Linked DNA regions of Lonchura striata. The protein of the gene in region 2 binds, or shares a complex with, the protein of the main gene of each other region. Links are inferred from orthologs where the notes say so. Each region holds a gene or a part of one and is shown on either strand. Other genes may lie near its edges. The genes, in order: EDA and EDAR.

Evidence for each region.
Region 1: the proteins of EDAR (region 2) and EDA are in contact, whole or in part, in a crystal structure (PDB 7X9G), measured with the Homo sapiens proteins. The link is inferred for Lonchura striata from reciprocal best matches to the Homo sapiens genes EDAR and EDA. Residues at the interface, in NP_071731.1 of Homo sapiens: Glu55, Pro56, Tyr57, Leu58, Lys78, Ile86, Arg88, Arg89, His90, Asp92, Glu94, Gly95, Phe97, Val134; in NP_001390.1 of Homo sapiens: Gln256, Ser258, Ala259, Gln261, Asp265, Asp273, Arg289, Tyr310, Tyr311, Lys340, Thr341, Tyr343, Ser370.

Annotation. Positions count from the first base shown.
Region 1 is NC_134616.1:5,474,422-5,478,328, forward strand, and holds the start of EDA (ectodysplasin-A), read right to left. Parts: upstream 2,461-3,907; coding exon 2,182-2,460; intron 1-2,181. UniProt on the Homo sapiens protein: Cytokine which is involved in epithelial-mesenchymal signaling during morphogenesis of ectodermal organs. Functions as a ligand activating the DEATH-domain containing receptors EDAR and EDA2R. May also play a role in cell adhesion.
Region 2 is NC_134604.1:90,405,120-90,409,026, forward strand, and holds the start of EDAR (tumor necrosis factor receptor superfamily member EDAR), read right to left. Parts: upstream 2,808-3,907; 5' UTR 2,796-2,807; coding exon 2,745-2,795; intron 2,040-2,744; coding exon 1,917-2,039; intron 832-1,916; coding exon 650-831; intron 1-649. UniProt on the Homo sapiens protein: Receptor for EDA isoform A1, but not for EDA isoform A2. Mediates the activation of NF-kappa-B and JNK. May promote caspase-independent cell death.

The DNA.
Region 1 (3,907 bases), on a different chromosome or scaffold from region 2:
GCTGCCAAATCTCACTCCTGTCATGAGGTCATTTCTGGCACGCGGCCAGATGAGGTTTTGGCCAAAATCTCAGCGCTGACCATCGCTCCCCGTCCTCCCCCCCATGCTCCTCTTCCTCCTGCCTCAGGTCAGGAAGGGAGGGGGGAAATAAAATAATTTTAAAATAAAGAAAAAAGGGTCAGGAAGGGGAGTGTCTTTTGGGTTTAAATTTGTACAACCACAACACACACAGCACTCGGCCTCTTCACTGAGGACACCTCAGCAGCTGAAGGACATTTGAGGGCTCACAGCTCTGTGGTCATTGGTCCCCCGCAAATGAACTCTGACCATGGTCCTCAGGAGAGAAATGTCATTGATCACATCACTTGAATTAATTATTTAGTAATTTCAGCCCAATTTATGCAAGCATCACATGTATGGGATCGCACTGAGTTTATCAGCAGCACAGCTTAGAAGGGCTGCTGGGAACCCCACACGTACCCCAAAGCTGGACAATAACTTTCTAAATAAAGCTGATTGCAAACCCCTGATTTCACTGTTTTAATCACTGAAGAGATGAACTCACAGCACCCCAGGACACCCAAAGTGCTTGTTTTTAGCTGCAAGGCAGAAAAATCAGTGAGAAAGGGTGAGCAGCACCACTACAAACCCCATTAATCATGCGCTGTCACAGCAGCGGAGCAGCTCGGGATGCTCAGCCTTCCTTCCCCGTGTCCCCACTACCAGCAACCTTTCCCTCCAGCCCAACTGCTTCAATGTGCCCCAAAGAATATTTCATCTCAAGCCTGACAGGCCAGATGTAGAATAAAGAAATAAATAATTAGCGTTACCTTATCTGGAGTCCGTCAGCTGCAGCGAGCGACGCTCGGAGCTCCGTCCGCATCCAGAGACAAATTATCTAACGCTGTAATTTATGAATGCCTCAAGTATTTGCCCTGGTATTTCACTATACACTCGCTGGAAAGAAGAGCTCGAAAGACTAAACAGATCCAGCACGATAACACGAAAGGCACTCCAGCCGCGCGCTATTCCAAGGCAACCCAGGAATCCCAGCACGACATCAAACCGCTCCGGCTCGCTCTGTGTTGACACCGCTCGAGGAGCAGCGAGGGCAGAGCGATGACCCGGGAGCTCGGCTTCCCTCCGGTTCAACGCTGGACTTGGATTTGTCACGGGAAGCTGCGGGATCCAGGCAGCGAAGGAAGCGCAAGCCCGGCTTTCCCGGGGGCAGCCGAGGCCGGCGCGGCGGAACGGCTCCCGCTGCCAAGTGAGAGGAAGAGTTCCAAACTCGCCGCTTTATCAAAGCTATTTTTGTCCTTCCCCCCACACACTGATAACCGGCCGGGCGAGGACCGCCGGGGTGCCGAGGCAGGGCTTGGCATCTCCCCCGAAACCCCGCTGAGACTCCGCGGCAAAGCCACCCGGCACCTTGGGGGAGCGGGCCATCCGCTCGGGAGGCTCGGAGGGGAGGAAACTCCTTCCTCCAGCTTATCCTGCTCGCAGCGAAGTTTCGTGCCTGGAAAAAATGAGCTAAGTTTGCGAGAGGAGGCCCCAGCTCCGCTCCGGCTCTCCCAGAGGCTCTCGGGACAGGCGACCCCCGCAAGGGCTGGGGACACCGGCGGGGACAACCGGGAGGCTGCTGCCCACCTGTGCCGCAGAGGCTGAGCGGCTGCTGCGGGGGGACACCGAGGCATCGCCCAAAAGATGAAGCACCTGGGCTGGGGGAGAAGCGCAGTCTGAGCGCGGGAGGAGCGAGGGGAGCGAGCGGAGGCCGTGCGGGACCGGGACCCGGCGCGTCCGGCGGCTGCGGGGCCGAGCCGTGCGGGGCTCCCCGGCAGCAGCGCCCCGGGGCACCCCGCAAGCGCCGGGGCAGAGCCGCTGCCCCCGGCCAAGGCTGCGCTGTCGGGACTCACGGCGGGTCCGTCGCGACAAGGAGACGGCGAGCAGCAGGTGGAACACGGGCGGCCCCGCAGCCCGTCACCCCCAGCCCAGACGAGCTCCCCCCGCGCCTCACCCCCGCACCGCGAGCTCGGGGCTTTTCCCCACTTCTCCCAGCAAACTCCCCCGAGGGGCCGCTCCGAAGCGCCCCGGGCCGCGGCTCCCGAGCGCGGGGATGGAGCCGGGGGGCGGCCCCGAGCGGCGCGGAGCCCCCGCGGTGCCCCCGCCGCCGGCCGGACCCACCTGCTGGCGCCGCTCCGCGCCCTCGGCCGCGCGCTGCGGGCGGCCCCCGGCCGGGGCTCCGGGCGCCGCCGCCGTCCCGTCCCGGCGCGGCGGGGCCGCGGGCTGCGGGCCGCGGTCGCGGCGGAGCTCGGAGCGCAGCTCCAGGTAACAGCCCAGCGTCAGGACGTGCAGCGCCAGCGACAGCGCGAAGAAGCCGAGGAAGAGCCGCCAGCTGCCGCCGCCGCCGCCGCAGGCGCAGCCGCGGGGAGCCGGCGCCGCCGCCCTGCGCTCCGCGCCCATGGTGCGCTCGGGCGGAGCGGCGCGGAGCGGCCCCAGCGCTGCTGCTCCCGGGGCGCGCCGGGCACCGCGGGCTGCGCGGCCGGGCCGCCAGCGCCCCGCCAGGGGGCGGGGCCGGCCCGGGGGCGGGGCCGGCGGGGCCGGGCGGGGCCGGCGGGGCTCGGTGGGGACGGGCGGGGCCGGGCGGGGCTCGGCGGGGCCGGGCGGGGCTCGGTGCGGCAGCGCCGCCTCAGCGTCCGGCCGGGGGCGGGGCCTGGGCGGGGAGGGGGCGGGGCCTGGGCAGCGACGGCAGCGCGGTGGGCGGAGTTATGCAAATTAGAGGGCGGAGTCACATCGGCTGGAGCCGCGCCCCGCTGCGAGCCCGATCCTGATCCCGGTCCCGATCCCGGTCCCAGTCCCGATCCCGGCCCTTTATCCCTGTCCCTGTCCTGTTACGGACAGGCGCGGTGATGACTGGGCCCGTGGCCAGCGCGGTTCAGGAGGGCCCTGTCCCGGTCCCGGCCGACATTCCCATCCCGATCCCAATCCCGGTATGGATGGACCCTATACCGGTCCCGCTATGGATGGACCCGATCCCGGTCCCGGTCCGTCCCGGCAGTCGCTGTCTCCGCAGCCAGCGGAGGATTCCTGAGAGCGGGCACCAAACGCCGCCGATTCCCGGGCAGGGGCAGCGTTGTCGCCGCTCTGCCCGGGGACACGGCCGAGCCCGGGGTGCCCAGGGGTGTGTGAGCATTTTGGGGCAGCTGTCGCTGCCCTCTCCAGCTTTTTAAAGGTTGGTTGTCACTGCTGGAGACTAATGGAAGCTGGAAAACAACCTGGGAAAGGGTGAACCAGGGAGAGGAGCGGATTTGGAGAGGGAAGGGTGGTATCGAATCACACCTGGTTTGGTTTGGAAGAACCTTAAAGCTCATCAAAAGGAGCTGGCAAAGCCTGTGCTGGTTCTATTTCCAATCAGGGGGTTTAATTGATAACGAGAGGGATAATGAGATGATGAAGGTGCTGTGTGATGCTCACAGGCTGCCAGGAAATTTGAATTGAGGAATTAGAGATGTTCTGAACATACTTGAGAGGTGGAATGAAGAGGATAGGATGTGATTTGGAACAGTAAAAGAGGAGTTAAATGCGAGGTGTTAATGGCCGCAGAGGAGGTGGCACTGCAGAGGAGGATTCCAGCTGGTTTTGGAGGATCACAGATGCAGAGGGGTCAGCAGTGCAGGGAGATGTCAGAGCCAACCCCAGACCTCCAGGAAGGGCCAGCACCAAGGATTGTCACCGGCTCGCCCCTGCCATGGGTCCTGCTGAACCCCCTGGGTGGGCTCCCAGAGCTGGGTGGTCCCGTGCCAGGTCTGTGCTCCCAGACCTGGGGGCAGGGTGAGTTTCCCATGAGGTTGTCCCTTCCGTGAGAAACCCTTCCAAGGCCTGGAACACATCGTCTGAGAATTTGTGGGGT
Region 2 (3,907 bases):
CTCAGACTCCATTATGTTGTGTAGAAAGGACCCCAGAGACTAAAATGCCTTGGTAAATCTCACTGAACAGCTATGTTGGCTAATACTGTCAACTACTGACAAATATGCCAGCTGTTCATATCTGGAGAAGTGATATTTTATGCCCCTAAACATGCTGTAGTGCCAGCATAAACCATACAGGGTATTTAAGGTGCTGTCATGCAGCTCATATGCAGGAGGCAGGACTCAGAAGGTGACCCTCTGAAGCTACAGCTGGAGGTCAAGATGGATTTCTTTGAGTGTTTAAAATGGCACTGCATAGCTGAGCTTGTTCGCTTTCCATTTCTAGTAAGAAGAAAAAGTTATCTAGTTGTTCCAAACAGTGAGATTTCAGTAAGATTAAAAACATCTTCTTTAGGGTCCCTTCCAGGCCTAACTATTTTACGATTCTGTGTTTATTAAACTCACCAATGCTTTTGAAATATTTAAATGTATTGTTTTAGTAGAGATGAAAAACCATAATTTACCAGTATTGTACCTACAGTCAACTTTGACATGGAAAGGCTGTCAGAGATTTTGACATCTGAAAAGTACCTCCCAGTAGACGGAGTATCCCATACCTCCTCTACCTCTCCTTGGGTAGAGCAGAGGTCCGTGGATAAGTCCTTACCCTGGGAGACAAGGACCACACTCCGCATCATTCTCCTGATCCCCAGGTGTCATGACTGTGGCTCGGAAAAAGCCCTCGCAGTCCTTGTGCCGTCTGCATATCTGGTAACCTCCTTTGGAAAACTTCTCAGAAGGGCAGGGGACGCAGCCATAGTCCTCATCTTTGGTGCCATATCCACATGTCTGCAACAACACAGAGTCACTCAAAAGCAGTCTTGTGCTGCACACCAACTTCTAGCAAAAGAGAATGTTCACAGCCTGCCCCATTGGCCTTGCAGCACAAAGGGAAAGGAGTCTGTCCTTTGGCCTGTTAGTGTCTATCCTAAAAAGACCATGCAGGGATATGAGGATGCAGCACTCTGTGTGCTGGAAAGGGAGAAGGGGAACTGGAGAATCACACTGTTTGTGAGTGGCCCCCCCATACTACTTCTACCATAATCCAGCAAACTGTGGAAGTGAATTTCAGATGCTGCTTGGATAGAAAGTGAACTGAAAATGGAAGAATAGCGATGACTCCTACAGGAGAAACACAGCTGCAGCAGGGCTATCAGCAGTTTCAGGTTAGGAAACCCCAGAGGGAACCCAAAAGGCAATGTTTGAATAAGATTTTGTAACCTCTGAAATCACATGTCCCAGCTGAACATTGCATTTAGATTAAATAAAACTAAACCAAACTGGTTATTCAAACATACTTGTTTGGGACTACCAACTGTGTGAAATGCTTGCAATAGGATGTTTATCCCATTAAAACCAAACAAGATTTCAGTAATTTTTTTTTTCTAATAAGCAATAATTACCTACTGTAAATCAAATGGTTACTTGGGAACCATAATTTAAAATATTGCGGAAACATCCAAACATCCAAGTTCCTCTAGTGCCAGAATATCTTAGCAGGAGAGCAAAAGTAACTTGTCAGTGTGAGGGCAAGCAAGCCAGACTGACCAATTTATCACTCTGTGTTGGAATGTCAGCATCAGATTCTAAATAGCTACTGAGATGAGAACAGACTCAGAGACTGTGTATGGAACTTTAACCTTTCCATTTTTACAGTATCTTTTTTAACAGGCTGCTCCTGGGATATGGGTTGCTGGCGTGCATGCAAGGTGCCTCACTCCCATGGCACACTTGGAGGTGTGAGTGCTCCTGCTTAGGCATCCTCAGCTTTCCTATTTCCTTTCCTACCTATTACTTCCACACAACAAAGCATTTGGGTTTTTTGCATTTAGTGCTTGATTTGTTCCCCCAGCAGCAGAAGAAGCTGGCATTACCATGTAAGGCTCTTCACCCGGCTCACACTTGGGGCAGTCGTGGCACATGCCAGTGGTCTGGTTGTAGTACTCGTTCTCACCGCAGTTGGAGTATTCGGCACTGGCAGAGTACACCAGGGAGACCTGTCACCAGAGAGCATTCCAGAGCACTGTCACTTCCACTGCCATCGTCCTCCATGCCTTACCCCCTCCCCTTGCACATTTGCTGCTGTTCAGCAGGGCCAGCACTGCAGAGTGAAACACCTAAAGCTCAGAAGCAGAAGTGGTGACACTATTTAAATGGAAACAGATGCAGGTTTCAGCAACCTGGTATTTCCAAGAGTTTCTCAGAGACTGACATTCATGCTTGTTTGGCACTGCCACTCCTTAAAACACTGAAGGTCACAGTTCCTGACCTTGTAACTCACATGCTCTCCCACACAAGCAAATGCCCGAGTTCACACCCTCATGACTCCCAGCTCTAAATGAGCCTTCATAAATGTGACTGCAAGGGACAACTATAACAACCAGAGATAATGCACTGCCTCAGGCCTCAACCACAATAGGGCTGTGCTTCATGTCACAGCCACGCTAATGTGCTCTTCTAGCACTTTCTGTCTCTGCTCCATCCTAGGTCTTTCTCCTTCTCCTCCTTCCTAGCAGCCACGGTTTAAACTGCACATTCTCAGGCGTTTTATGGAATGAAAATTATCTACATTGAGGTTCAGTCCCTAGGTCATGTGTGGGTCTGCTACCATTCACGGGTGGTTATGAATAACCCAAGCAGAACCCTGTTATCTTTGCACACTATAGAGACATGTGCACACAGAAATACACAGAAATACCTACCATCAGGAAAGGGAACACGTGAGTCCATTTACGTTCACCCAGGTGAGCCATGCTCTCTTGATATTTTACCTGAAAAGATAGAATTGGTGTTTGTTTATGAACATGAGTAAATATTTGTGTGTGTTGCCAAAATAAGAACAGAAGGGCTCATAAGCAGAACAAAGGTTACATGGGAGCAATGCCCAGAGGTCTAAACAAAGAGAGGGGGAGATGTGCACGTGCAGTTGTGCACACACAGGCACCACACCCCCTTTCTGCACATCTCTTTCCTCTCTTTGAGAAGACAATGGCAGGAGGGGATCCACTCTTGCCATATTTACAAAAATCTGTAAAAGATGAGGAACCATCTTGGCTTGCTGAGACATCTTCCCATGAGGGAATGGAGGGCTGCATATTGACCACTAAATGAAGGAGGTAGTCTTGATCACTGAAATGAAGTAGCCCAGCTTGTGTCCACACCAATTAGTGCTTGACCACATTCCATCAGGTTTGTCTGGGAAAGAACTGTATGGAGCAGCCAAAGCAGAGCTGGGGAGTGACCCAATGGCAAGCAGTGTGGGCAGTCAGAACATCAGCAGGGCTACACTTTCCTTGCCAGCTCCTGTGGATGCACTGAGAAAGCCCAGAGCTGCTCTCCTTTCTTTAGCAAGCATCGGCTGTTTTTTGTTCTTGATACGCAAACTGCAGATCTGAGATGTTAAACCCAAGGAAGGAGCCAAACCTTATATTCAAAAAGCTATTGAAACAGTTGGGAAAAAGAAAGGCTGAAATCTATGTTACAAACACATATGCTAACTTATTTAGTTTCTTAAAATGATTAATTTTTAATAAGAGCTAATGTTCAATGTTCAATTACTGGATTTCTTTCTAAGGTGAAAAAAGAGACAGGAAAAGGAGGCTCAAATTGGTTTTTTTTTTAGCATGATACAACCTATTTAATTATATTGTTGCAGCACATAACACGCCCTGAGGGTTTTAGAGCTCCAAATTGCAAGTGCTTGAGATACAGTTGCAACATTTTGCTCCTACCAGATGTAAAATATTCTTTCAATTTTCCATGTCTCAGACACTGGGAAACTTTTAGCCTCCCAGAAGAGTACAATTACTGCTTTGTGCCACATTCAAGCATACAACTTATATGAGAGCAGTGCTCTAGTATTTGA